3 linked regions of the Nothobranchius furzeri genome follow. The protein of the gene in region 2 purifies or fractionates together with the protein of the main gene of each other region. This does not show direct contact. Links are inferred from orthologs where the notes say so. Each region holds a gene or a part of one and is shown on either strand. Other genes may lie near its edges.

The links.
Region 1: the proteins of ift140 (region 2) and intraflagellar transport protein 43 homolog purify together in Homo sapiens (affinity purification with mass spectrometry; 3 studies listed by BioGRID and IntAct, counting the BioPlex papers as one, with this or other methods). This does not show direct contact. The link is inferred for Nothobranchius furzeri from reciprocal best matches to the Homo sapiens genes IFT140 and IFT43.
Region 3: the proteins of ift140 (region 2) and wdr19 purify together in Homo sapiens (co-immunoprecipitation; 3 studies listed by BioGRID and IntAct, with this or other methods). This does not show direct contact. The link is inferred for Nothobranchius furzeri from reciprocal best matches to the Homo sapiens genes IFT140 and WDR19.

The regions. Positions count from the first base shown.
Region 1 is NC_091758.1:32,608,495-32,613,147, reverse strand, and holds the start of intraflagellar transport protein 43 homolog, read right to left. Parts: upstream 3,102-4,653; 5' UTR 3,040-3,101; coding exon 2,983-3,039; intron 2,272-2,982; coding exon 2,179-2,271; intron 1-2,178. Other genes in the region: tgfb3 (transforming growth factor beta-3 proprotein), read left to right, coding at 4,350-4,653. UniProt on the Homo sapiens protein: As a component of IFT complex A (IFT-A), a complex required for retrograde ciliary transport and entry into cilia of G protein-coupled receptors (GPCRs), it is involved in ciliogenesis.
Region 2 is NC_091756.1:32,351,465-32,355,619, forward strand, and holds part of ift140 (intraflagellar transport protein 140 homolog), read right to left. Parts: intron 1,480-4,155; coding exon 1,337-1,479; intron 1,261-1,336; coding exon 1,057-1,260; intron 977-1,056; coding exon 904-976; intron 805-903; coding exon 713-804; intron 627-712; coding exon 499-626; intron 411-498; coding exon 293-410; intron 209-292; coding exon 87-208; intron 5-86; coding exon 1-4. UniProt on the Homo sapiens protein: Component of the IFT complex A (IFT-A), a complex required for retrograde ciliary transport and entry into cilia of G protein-coupled receptors (GPCRs).
Region 3 is NC_091742.1:74,697,224-74,701,944, forward strand, and holds the start of wdr19 (WD repeat-containing protein 19), read right to left. Parts: upstream 3,102-4,721; 5' UTR 2,981-3,101; coding exon 2,975-2,980; intron 2,098-2,974; coding exon 2,006-2,097; intron 1,925-2,005; coding exon 1,859-1,924; intron 1,781-1,858; coding exon 1,655-1,780; intron 1,558-1,654; coding exon 1,439-1,557; intron 1,350-1,438; coding exon 1,234-1,349; intron 1-1,233. UniProt on the Homo sapiens protein: As component of the IFT complex A (IFT-A), a complex required for retrograde ciliary transport and entry into cilia of G protein-coupled receptors (GPCRs), it is involved in cilia function and/or assembly.

The DNA of each region.
Region 1 (4,653 bases), on a different chromosome or scaffold from region 2:
TCCATCCATTTTCTTCCACTTATCCGGAGTCGGGTCACGGGTGCAGCAGCCTAAGTCGAGAGGCCCAGACTTCCCTCTCCCCAGCCACTTTGGCCAGCTCTTCTAGGGGAATCCCAAAACGCTGAATTTCTACTTTAATGCGGTGAAGGTACGCTAATTATTTACCATTTGAGCTGATGTTACGCTTAAAGTCCATTCTTTGATACAACACAAATAAAAGCAACAAAGACAAACCTGTATGCAACTATAAAGTCATCTCTGTGGCATGGTGGTATGTGGAGCAGAGTGTGAGAACTGAGTTTGAACCCAAAATAGTTGTTAGGTGACAGGGGTCCATGCGTGGGTGAGTGGGGTGGGGTGGGGGTCCATGTGCTTGTCATTTTCTTTACTGTGAAAATAATAAACTATGTATCTCGATCCTGAGACTTGGACCAACTGAGACCAACACTTGAATGAATGAATTCCTTTAAAGCACTTAAGGGTGACCCATCGACATATATAAGGGTGAACACTGGTCATTGAATGGGGTGGGGTGTGTATGTGTGTGTGTGTGTGTGTGTGGGGGGGGGGGGGGGGTCTGCAGAGGACAAAGTGCTTGTGACGAATTTCCTTTCCTTGTATAATTAGTAACCATCTGTTTAAACAAAAACATATGATTAAAGTGACAACTGAGACTTTCAAGACAACGCTGCAGAATGCTTTTGGTGGATGTGGAAACTCGTCTGTTTGATACTTTGTGTTTAGGACAACAAATAGTTTTCATGAGAGACAAGATAATAAGGTCAAGTGTCCTTGAGAGGACAACAGTCATTTTTTTGGCATTCTTTGACCATAAGTGTCCTGAGAAACAAAACAATCATCTGCCTGCAAATTCTTTATGACCAAATATGAACCTTACAGTTGTCATAAAATAGTTAGAGCTGTTAGGACAATTAGCTTAGCCTTCATGGTTCTTAATTTAGGATTCTGCGATGGTCTCTGGGGCAAGGAAATTGTGGTGGTCAAACATTATGAGCCCATAAAAGCATCTGGGTCTTTGCTTTGAGTGATGTCAAGAATGTGACCAAATCAGTTGGGTATTTAAGGCAGAAGAGGGCAAGGTTGATAAACAAAGACTGCAGAGGGAGGAGGAAAAAAGGACCAAAATGCACGACACTCCGGAAAAATGTATTGCATGTGCAGGGCACGGTCAGGGAGAGCGTGAGAATATTGGTTCATACATTATGGAAGTTGGCCTAATTTGGGAAGATTAGCTTAAAGCATTGCTGGAATTTTTGACTTTGGGAATGATGATGGGTTTGCCAGAGCAGGAGATGTGACTCGTTCCCGAAATGCCAGCGATACTAGCGTGAGCCTAGTTAATAAATGTTGCCTCTGATGAGATTTTTCACATATTTTACCCAACAAGTCCAATGTACAGTTACATTGACTGCCATATTTTCTTTTTTACTGCAACAATATTGGTCTTTTCTATGATGTAATATACTTTCATATGACTGTTGTCATGGTACCGGGCATCTTTTAAAGGCCAACGCCCTACACAAACACCTGCTGCTAATTGAGCAAATACCCTCTTCATTTCAGGGTAAAGACTCATTCAAAAACACCACCAACCAATCGTTACAGAGCAATGAATAGAAAATCTGTGAATCAGACCACAGGAAAATGAAACCAACACCTTAAAGAACATCTTATCCCCTGCAACAACCTCTTAAGACAAGTTATTGCTATTCTGCTGTTGTTATTTGTCAATTAGTAAAGTAATTCATATAAAATGTATTTGCATTTAAGATATGTTTCAATGATAAGACTCATGGAAAGGATTCACGTATGTTTTCATACTCTGAAGAAGCTGTAAAGTTTGAAAAAAGTGACACTTCAAACACTGACCAACACACACAAGTTTAAAACCTGTTGAAGTTTAAAGAGTGAAATATCTCATCCACTGCATCAAGTCAGTTTCAGCTGTGTGTTGGTAATTGAGAGAAATGTTCAAACACCATATTAATAGGGTAGAAAGTATGCACAATAGAAGTCATGCAAAGTCAAGCTACCCACCTCATCATCATCATCAACATCCTGTCATTTGTGTATGAGATAAAATAAAAATCTGTATTTATGATACTTTAAGGTAAAATAAAATATGTAGACAACCATTTGTTACATGAAATTACATACTTCTAAAGAGGAAGAGGACTTCCGAGCATGGCGAGACTCTTCGGATGACGACTGGTCTGCTGCAAGACGAGCTCTTCGTCCAGACTTGGCAATCTGAGAAATGTGAGGGATTTTTGAAAATTAATTTTCTTTGTTGAAAAGCATCTTGCTGAATACATTTATATGCAGAATATCTGCTTTAAATGCTAAAATACTTTGATTCCATAAATATAGATCCATCCGTTTTAACATTTCTCATTTTAAATAGTTTTCATTATTATTTGATGTTCAAATAGCTTACTCAGTTTACTAATAGGAGACGTGAATATGTAGATTTTCAAAATAAAAGACAGAAAGGTGGTTCACAATTTTTTACTTCTTTCTTACAGCACTGGTAGTTACTCAGTTCTTACTCTCTACGAGAGACCAACCGCCTTCGTAATTCTGAAATGCACCTTCTTTTGTCTGAGAAAGACGCAAAGTAGGAGAAAAAAAAAGAGAAAACCAAAACAAAAGCTCTGCCTACAAGAAACTCAGTAGCACGCTAGCACGGCTAACCACAAAGCTAGCGTTAGCTTGACACTGGCAAACAAATAATCACTAATCTTGCTCACAACCGGTAAAACCATAACATATGTTTGACGGTGGTTTATTTGTTAAACATTTAGCTTATCAAATGGCAAGGCACGTATTTGGTTTACGGTGTTAGCTAAAAAGCTGACGCTAGCCTCGGTGAAACATTACACAACGGCTCGAGCTTCTCTAACAGCACTAAATACTAATTATGTTATCACTAATAAATATCTTAACTGAAACAAGACGTACATGTTTTGTAGCTGTCCCATCTTCGGCGTGAAAGCTATCGTCTATCTCTCTCCTCATTGCTACAGCTCTGTTGTAGCTTCTTCCTGAGTCACAACCGTTACATAGCAACGTTCACCATAGCAACGCCAATCAGCAGGAGCGAACGTGTCTTGCGTAATTAAATTTAATAAAATCTCAATAAAACAGGTTCGATTTATTTATAACACAAAGATTTAATGTCTAATTAAATAGTAATAGCATTGTTGATGAATTGATATTAATGGTTACATTTATATTTTTATGTAATAAAATAAAAGACAAACTCTAGTCCAATAGGTATCAGCGAAAATTTATGTCCAACATTTAAACATCGCTCGCTTAAATGTCCCGTTAATTAAATGTGTTTTTATTTAGAACCAGAATTAAATGTGTTGTTACTCTTTCTATCCACCAGATGTCAGTGTTGCGCATGTTTTCATTTGCTGACACCGCTCGGTAGCAGCCATCATGCGGTAGTTCAGAGCAGCTGAATGTTTAATCAAAATACCTCCTTTTAATTTCATTCCACCATCTGTGATTTGCATATAATTTACGTCCATGATTTCATCAGAAACTTTGATAAAGCAGAAAAATTGTGCAGCCTACTTAATAGCCATTTTGTGCCTACAATAAAACATCTAATTGATTAATTAGCCCCAGAAAGCTTACTTTTCTGTTTAGTTCATTATTTTTGTTTAAAAATAGATACTACATAACCATTAAACAAAAATACACTCACGCATGGGATGGGGTTTGATTGCGGAAACCATAATTTAACTCAAAAACAGACTTGAAAGAAGGATTTAGAAACACATGTTATGATAGGAGCTATAGTTCATTGTTTGAACAAGGTTTAGAAATTGCTGCCCCTCCTTCAGAAACGTCACAGCCAGCAGGATATAAAGTATGAGTGAGAGTGCAGAGCCTGAGTGTGTTTGAGGTTGGACTACGGGGAGATAACAGAGGCGCTGGCTCCACTAACACCAGTGGATGAAAAGAGCTGAGTGGAATGGAGGGACTGAACCAAGGCGCACAGACCGGCCCCGTTTGAAATATATCACAAGGGAAGAGATGCTTGAATGAGACCAGGGGTGATGCGGAGGGTAATTAGGAGTTTTGGTGAAGAGTTATGGTTATTTTCCAAAATGGCACGGATTTGCGCTCATCCAGATGCGCACTTTGCAACGATGACATAGCACTTGAGAAAATGGGATTCCTCCAGGAACAGAACTCACTCACGAGCTGAATGACATTATAAAAGGGATTCAAATCGGATTTTTGTTTTTCGCTTAATTATTATTTTTATTTTACTTGATACGCGTCGGTTGTGTGTGAACTCAGAGTGAAATATGAATCTGGGCAAAGCACTTCTGTTTTTTCTCCTCTCGAGTTGTGTGACAATGACTTTCTCGCTCTCCACTTGCACCACTGTGGACATCGACCACATAAAGAAAAAGAGAGTGGAGGCGGTCCGGGGACAGATTCTGAGTAAACTCCGGATGACCAGTCCGCCTCAGGCAACAGGTCCGAGCCAGGTCCCGTTTCAGGTTCTGGCCCTCTACAACAGCACCAAGGAGCTCATTGAGGAGCTGGGAAGAGACCGGCAGCAGAGTTGCGGACAGGAAAACACTGAGACCGAGTACTACGCCAAAG
Region 2 (4,155 bases):
CTGCCTGAGAAACAGAGAAGACGTACAGATCAATGTGTGGGGTCACAGCTATTACAGTCCACATGGTCAAAAGGAGAACACCTTACTTTTCACTTTCTTCTGACTGTAAGACGCCACTAGATGGCCTTCCAGTGAAGAAGTCAAAGTGTGTCACGGTGTCCATCTCAACGTCATAAAAGTACACTTTGTGATCAGGTCGTCCATTTACCTGAGAAGAAAGACTCCACTTAAAACCACTTCATGATGGTGTGAAAGCATAAAATATCAGAGTAAAGCATGTTTGTCCGTTTACCTTAGAGATTAGTATGCTAACTTGGCTGCCATTGGCGTTGCAATTGACAGACCTCAGAGCTCCCAGATTGGAAATCTGGTCTGCCAGGTTCTTAGCGCTACAGGAAGCTTTGGCATCTCTACAAAAACAAAAAAACTAAAATCTCAATTGAATTCACAAATTCAGCTGATAAGAGTATTTATAAAGGAGCCACATGGACTCCATACCTTCTAGAAAGGTCAAAAACTCTGATGTGCGCCGTGTCTGTGCCCACCACCAGGTAGGACTGGCACACACTGAGGAGCACAGGGTTTCCCTCTGTCTTGGAGAACGTTAAGAGTTGTTTCACTGTGCCCTGATAGTGCAGAAAGTGAACACAAACATCTGACATGCTCTGAAAATTACCCAAAAATTATTTAGTAGTGGGTCAAGCCAACAGACCTGCGGTGTACGGATTTGAACCCTGTTTGGTTCTACAGTGTAGAGGTTCTCACCATGCATGGCTACCACTTGGGAATCACAAGAAAATGATCCTGAGAGATCAAGAAAGGAGAGAAAAGGAAAAAAGAAATTAGGTGTGGTGAAAATATAAAATGTAGTTCATTTTACCAGTTTGTGTTTGTAACATGTACCTGTGCTGCGTAAAGTTGTTCCTGAGAGCTCATAAACTGTGACTACTTTACCGTTCCAGACTGTCACCGAGTCCTGATGGAACAGAAAAAGACAAAAGGTTTTGAGACGTATTTCTGAGAAACGCTTTGTGAAAGCTTCACCTTCCCTCCTACCTTGCTAACACACACTCCTTTGATGTGCATATCAGACATGAGAGCAAGCTGCGCTCCAGTGGAGAACTGAGTGATGATGACCTGTGTTGGGGTGAGCTGCACTGCTGACACCTGCTGGCTGAAGTGGGCGGACATCACGTGCTCACTTAGAATCAGCACCGTCTTTGAATTATTGGCTGCCAAAAGGTTCTGGCAGGAGCCCCACTGAAATTGAAGTTCAGTTCAATGTTCTGAAAACAGTAGCACGCCTATCATGATGGAATGCTGGTCTAGATGGTACCTGTAGCTGAAGGACATTTCCTTCTATTTCTGTGGGTGCTTGTAATTTCCACAGGATCTTTGTTTCTCTGCTGCTGCTGTTTGGCTGCACCACCATCTTCCATATTGCTATGTGCCCATGGGAGGTACCAGCTGCCAGGATTTCTACAGACAAATAAAAAAATGACTTTCCCAAATCTTCTCAGATTGGAGTGAATAAAAATGTAAAAGCCTGCATTCCTTAAAGAAACACATCATGACAGAGTTTGGAACTAAGATCTGGTTTAGTCTAGAAATTATGGAGTTCTAGACAACACACAAAGCATCTGATGGGGTTACCCTCAGCTGCAACCACATTTGTTTGCAGCTCTAAACTGACAGAGTGAGAGTCGTGTTTTTGTTTGTCAAAGTCAACTGGTTGTGGCGGCCATCTTAATTGGATTGACTTTGAAAGTAAACCAGTTGTACATCCAATGATTATTTTCAGAAAGTTTCATTCAAATCCCCTGGTGGCTGGTGAGATCTCCGGGAATCAGACGGTGTAGGCTCTAACTGTTAATGGCCGTGTTCGAGATGAGCCAGTTCTGCGCAGATTAGATTTGTGTCCGACTTGACGCCGACTTGCTCTGCCGTCATGCATACGTAGACAACGATAACCTTGTTAGATCAAGGCGGCTGCAGATTTTGGAGCAAGGCGCTGCAGTTGCTCTCCATCGGCTGCAAAACCTAGGGCATGATGGGAAACGCCTGGCTCAAACCTGATCTAAGATCTGATTGGTTCATATTTTGATCCAAACATCCGGTGGTAGAACATGAAATGTTAGTTGGTCACATGTATTCTGTAAATCATGTAACGTCGATGATGACAACTATATAGGCCATAAAGACAAATGTGTTTTGTGTTATTTGTCACGTTTCATATGAGCACACTAAAGCTGCAGCTGATAACCATTACTTATTATTACCCCGGCTTTCCACAGCAGCCGTCAGCAGCACGTTACTGCAGCAGCACGTCATAGCTGCTGATAGGAACGGCTGTGGTCAACAGAACCTTTTCAACTGGAGCCGTCAGCAGCGCGAGTCGGCCGCGTCTCAGGAGCAGCATGTCGCGGCCTTTACGCGCCGGTTCTATTTCCTACGCGCGACGCCTCTGAAACGGGTCAAGTTCGACATTTTTGGGGAAGGAAAGACAGGAAATCGGACGCGGAAATGGAGAGAAGCTCCCGATATTTTCAGAATAAAGAACGTACTGCCTTCCGGTCGTTTTACTTTAAAAAACGTTACTAACTGTGCGGCCCCGTGAGAAGTTATCACCTAGCTAGCGGTCTCCTTTGTTTTTCAGGTCCGTATTGGCGATTATAAAACGGACAGAACATAAAAACACAAACATTTTGGAGCCATGTTGTAGTTTTCTCCTGCTTGTTGTTGTGTTTACTGACGAAGTCACTCGTGTGACTTCGTGCTCGGTCGGTGACAGCTGCTCCCCTGCTGATTCGCGTCTCGTGGGAAGGGCCAAGCAGCAGCTTACGCGAGCAAGACGTGCTGCTGCAGTAACGTGCTGCTGACGACTCCGGTGGAAACCCGGGGTTAGTCAGGTCTCCATATACAATATATGACATCCACAAACACGTGAGGATGTGTTTCAGCTGCTAACAGGTACCAGAATTAAAATAAATAATTAAACAAGTATGAACTCTAACGCAATATCTTCATCCATCGTCACCCCCGAGCTACACATGTAGGGAAATCTGTCCGACTTAAATGCCGGCTTTCAGCCACTCCCCCTGCTCTCGTCTGCTTTCCAGGCGAGGCGCAGCTCAACTCGAACACGGCCAATGACACAGTTTGACTTAAGGGAAAGTTGAATTGGGGTTCTGTGGTAAGGATATGATCAGTCCACATTGTAGACAGCTCTTTGAAGGGCCTCGATTTGGCAAAAACGAGCTTAGTCCTGGTTGTACCGGAGGACAGAGGACAGGAGAACGCGCAGCTAATTAATTAAACAATTTGGTTCTGTACCTTTCTCTTCAGCACAGCCGACAAAGGTTTAAGATGGGTCAGTCCTCCTGCATGCTCTTGAAAAATTGTTCCAAAATGAAAGTTGAACCCACATCTTTTTTATCTGTGAATGCAATGCCGTTCGGCGAGTCTCAAATAAAAATTTGGGCTTCTTACTGTAAAAAAAATATACCATTAATGTAAAAAAGAAACTCTAAATAAACTATGTTCACATCCAGAATCAAACCCAGGTCTTCTGCACGAGAGTCCGACGTCTTACTAGGCGAGCTAACGCGCCAGTGACGTCACTTGTATCTGTACCATTTAAGAACGATTCGGAGGGCTATGTCTGAGCGTGAACGCGCATTAAGCAGCCTGCTTGACCCGAGCAGCTCTCTTTTTCTGTGATTTTACAGAAAAATAGGCAATCACAGAAATAAATTCTTTCTTACCAGTGGTAAATTAAGTGCAGCACATTATCAATTAAAAACAATTACAATTGGGTAAAATGTGTAAATGAACAGAGTTCTTAAATAAACGAAAAGATGTAATAACAACAGAGAGCTTATTCCAGTCCAATGGAGCTTTAACTCTAAAAGCAAGTCTCCCAACTTCCTTCTTAACTGGAGGAACAACAAAAGAGATACTATATGGACATTCAAAGGGCACTAAATACATTTTTAAATACTCAGGAAAATTTAAAAAATATAAATTTGAAGATAAACAATAACCAATGAAAGCTCCGTCTTTCCTTTAAAGGAAGCCAGTTCAAACTTTCAAACATAGTACAGTGATGAGTGTTAAAAGGACAACGCAGCACAAAACGACAAATACTGTTGTAAA
Region 3 (4,721 bases), on a different chromosome or scaffold from region 2:
ACACACACAAACACATATATATAGAAATCGAGATGCAAGATAATAATGATTCGTTGAAACATTGTGATATTCCATGTTATGATACTGAACTGATATTTCTACAGCAGAATATCGATTTTTATTCAGAATTTACATTCAAACTGTTACTGTATTTCTTTTGTGGGGTACATCTAAAAATAGTTTATCTCACAGAGTGTATTTTCATCGCACATGCGAAATATATGTTCTGCCCTGGTTTACAACTTTAATTAATCTGGGCCTAGGGCATAGTTTCTCACTACTTACCCAGACACCGAGCTCTCCCCTTCCTCGCTGATGGCTCAGATATGCTTGCGATGATGCTGTATTATCACCATCGAACTCCCATGCCATGCCTCGTCTGATTTACATATGTTGCAGGTGACAGATGTCTTTGCATTGTTTAATCTAAAGTGCTCCCAAACTTTAGAAAATTTTCTTAGGTCTTCCTGTCATTCCTCATCTAAACAACGGCTTTCTTTCTCGTTCTGATCTGCCTCGGTCTGTTCTGCTGCCACCTATGAGCTGTGTGCATTGACTGTTACATAAAAGTTGCACGACACAAACAAATTCACGACAAATTAATTTTTTATCGATTGTTATTGATTCATTGTTGCAGCCCTGTTTCTGGTATCGCAGTATGTCGTCTCCCCTGTACTGATATGAATCGTATCATCAGATTCAAGCCTATAGGGAGCCTAAGTCACGCCCATGTACTTCCAGATCACGAGTCCCCAACAGCAAAACAAAAAGAACGGGAGTCTATGAGAGGATAAAAGTTATTTTCTGATGTCGTTTCATTTGTGCAATGGATTTCACATGTGATATGTGTGAATTTAAAGTCACATTTTGATGCCAAGAATGTGCTTATTTTCAACAGACCAGGTGGCAAAAGTTCTGTTTTTGGTCAGTTTTATGCTGTTGTAAGGTGCTATATAAATAAAGCTGCCTTGCCTTTTAGGTTTGGTGTGAAAATACATCCAGGTCTCTAAATGTTCGTCTCACAGAAATTGACGTCATCGAACCACACAGAGACCAAAGTAAGTTTAGTGAGCTTCAAAACCTTCTTCCAGGACAAAAAGAGCAATAAACATGGAGAAACCACTTTAAACCTGGCCATGCGGTAAGTAGCAGCTACGCTGGAGGAGAAGTGATTCTGTAGTGACGTCTGTTTAAATTATGAATTACACGCATATATAGTGTTGGTGTGACTACCTGTCTGACTGTGTCTCCTTCATGGTTGCTAATGCTAAGAGTGTGGTCATCACTTCCCAGAGCCAGCAGATTCTGAGAACTCCAGCACCCACAGGTGATTTTCTTGGTGTGTTTACCTGCGGTAGCAATGTAAAGACAAATGATCATTATAAATTAAGTAAATATGAATAAATAATTAAATAAATGTTTGCGGTGTGTTTATTACCCAGTATGGGGATCTTGCGTGAGGTCTGTTGGTTGTAGATCAGCAGGTTTCCTTTTGCTGTCCCAACAGCTAACAGAGGGCCAGCTTTAGACCACAGGATGAAGGTCATCTGATCTTTGCTTAAACCAAAAACAGCAAAAGAAGAATACATCCTGATTATTAAAAACTGAGTAACACTTTCTCCCTACCTCACTTTCTGCATCATGGCTGCTGTACCTCATCCCGCTGTCTATTTGTGACATTTTACTGACACTGGCATCCCAGAGGTAGATTAAGCTGGATTTTGCAGCGATCACTGCAAGAATGTCGCCATCCTTGTCCCAGTCCATCCCCACACAGCGACTAAAGGTGAGGAGAGACAAAAGATATGAAGCAGCTGACGCGGTCAAAGTGAACCCCTACAAGTCGTCTTACACTCACCCTGGGAGGTTGAGTTCAGTCCACTTCTGTCCATGTCGATCAAATATTTTCACTGAGTTATCCTGCCTGTGTGATTTGAAACAACTGAAATGTATGAACACCCTTTTGATGATGATCTTGAACTAAGAGAAGAAACAGTTTACTCACCCGGCAACAGCAATGTAGTTTCCAAGGCTTTTCTGCCATTTGTAAAGAACAGTAGAGCCTGCCCAAGCCTTTTCCGAAAGAACGAAAACACTCTGGAAGCAAAAAGTGACTAAATCTAAGTTTAAAGGCATTATAGGGGAAAACAGTCATTCTAGTGTTGCAGCTGCATGAGTGAATCATACACCAAAGTCACAAATTTAATAAATAAAGCCTGGCCAAAACTGATTCGTGCAACGGGATCATGTTCACACAAACACCAGGAAATCTAAACCTGACAAGGAAAATAATCATGGCCTTGAACTGAACTGTGCATAAATAAATACACAAATCAAAGTTTGTTTTCCAAGAATGAGATAATTAAAAACAAACAGATTGTAAAAAACGAATACAGATAACTAAAAACAACAGTCATAAATTCAAGGGCATGAGGTAGGGCTCTGGCTGTTTAACCCTATTCTTATGATAAATAGAAGAAAAATCGATTCTAAATCAGCCTTTAATATAAAGAAAATAACTAATCAAACCCACAAAGTGAGATTATCTTTCTTTATCCGCACTTTAAAAATAATATCACGTCATTCTCTTTAAATGTACTTTTCTATCTAATTTTCTGCCCTATTTATTGTTTAATTTCAGTTCAAAATATAAAGAAATCACACAAAAAAAAAACTAAATTGTTCATATCAAGCTTCCATGCTGCCACATTTAACGGACACGATAAGCTAACTAATGCTATCATTAGCCTCTAACATTAAAGTACTATCATAATTCACCTATAAATACAGTTATGTTCTCTCTGGTCAGCTCAACAACTAACAACTGGGAATTATCGACAAAACCAATGTAGCCTGAGCTAGCTTGAAGCTGCATACCAAAAACTCGCTAAATCCGTTTCGTGTAGGGCAATTCAACCCTGGAAATCACAAAAACAAAAGAAACGTGTGTATTAAAGTTCTCCTTTGTACCAACCTTCATTTTAGTGGCTTTTAAAAGCTCACAACCTAAACCTCCTTCGTCTTTTCAAAACATTTTCGACGTTAGGGATGTTTGTTTCCCACAATGCTTCACTCTGAAGCGTCTTCTGCGGAGATGTCATGGCAACGGGGGGTAGCCAATGAGGGGCCTCTGAGAGGCAGACGAGGCAGCAGATACAGAGTTCGTATTTCAAAATGAAAGCACCGAGGATGCTAATTAAAATGTAATAGAATAATTCCAAACCTGTGTCACTAATTTGTGACAGCAGGTTAATTTTAATGAAAGATATAGTAAAGTATAAATTTGCCTTATTTAATGAAATTTACAAAAAATTGTTTTTTAAACAAATGCTAATATGTTGTGAGTCAATGTTTTCAGTCAGAAATCTAAGGATGCATGGAAAATTTCACAGATTTTGACGTCTGAGTTTTAATATTGTATTTCCATCATTAATCCATAAGATGGCAGTTTTGCACAACTCTTTTTGCCTGGGTGTGCTAAAGACTCGACATCTGCTCCTCTGCCCCAGGTTTCCATGAGCATGAGGACTGTCCTTGGGCAAGACACTTAACCCTCCCTGCTTGCTGCCCACACTGGTAGTCTGGGGGCCTGAGAGGGGCCGTCTATTGAGTACCACTGTTCAAGACTAAAATAGGTGAGGGGTAAGCTGCTCAATTAGAGAGGCACATTTTTAAGAAAGTAATTGCCCATAAGTGTTTCAATTCTTTGTGTGTAATCATGACAATATAATAAAAGCAAATTTGTTAGAGGCTTCAAATTTAACTATTTTGCAAAGACAAAAACATGTGTTTATCTTAATTTTCTGTCTCAGTGACAACATGAAAGTGTTTGTTTCGGAATATCTTTTCAGCTTCAGATAAAAAGCATTTACATGTGCTGGTTCCACATCTTGCATTAGGCAAAATTATCGCAAAAAATCTGTACTTACTATTGTTCAGGCTTTGCCCTCAGGGTGGGTGGGTGGGTAAAGGGACAGAGGGGGCTCAAAGCTTGTTGTCAGGATGGTTCTGGCCCACTTTACACCCACTCTAGAACCGCCCCTGTGTAGAAGGTTCACAGATTGACGTGGGAAATTGGGGGGAGGCTCTGAAAGGCAGCTCACACTCCATGGAGCGATTCAAATAGTTTCTAAGTTCATTTCTGAAGGAGATAGATTCTCTTTGGTCTTGGATGCTTTCAAACCCTAATTTACAACTGCTCAGTTACCTATATCTGCCAGCGATGACATGAGACACAAATGATGTTTAATCTTTCTATTGATGGAAATTCATTTTCAAAGAACTTGGAAGACTTCGACTCGGTTCGCAGTGTTCTCCTTTACAGGTCCGTCGATTTCTTTTATGTTTTTAAATACAAGGGCACTCGTTTAGGTTTTGTTTTATGTTGTTTTTGTTGGCTGTCGCACTGTGCCAGAACCGAAGCGGTTGGCAAAACTTGTGCAGAGATGCTTGCTGAAGGTATATGCGTAAACTTGATCACATCAAACCCCATAATTCTGATATTTATATTAGAATTCGACTTACAATAGCCCTACTAAGTGCCTTTCACAGAGAATAGCATTGCTTGTAGTTAATTTGACAGTGTGATTCTGGTACATTGACAGAGTTTTAATACTTTTTCAGTGATTTCTTTCTTCCCACTTGTCATTTACGTCAATTCACCTGGCTGGTGGTGATGTAGCACGTGTCCCTGACGATAACACGTTTATATCTAAACCAAG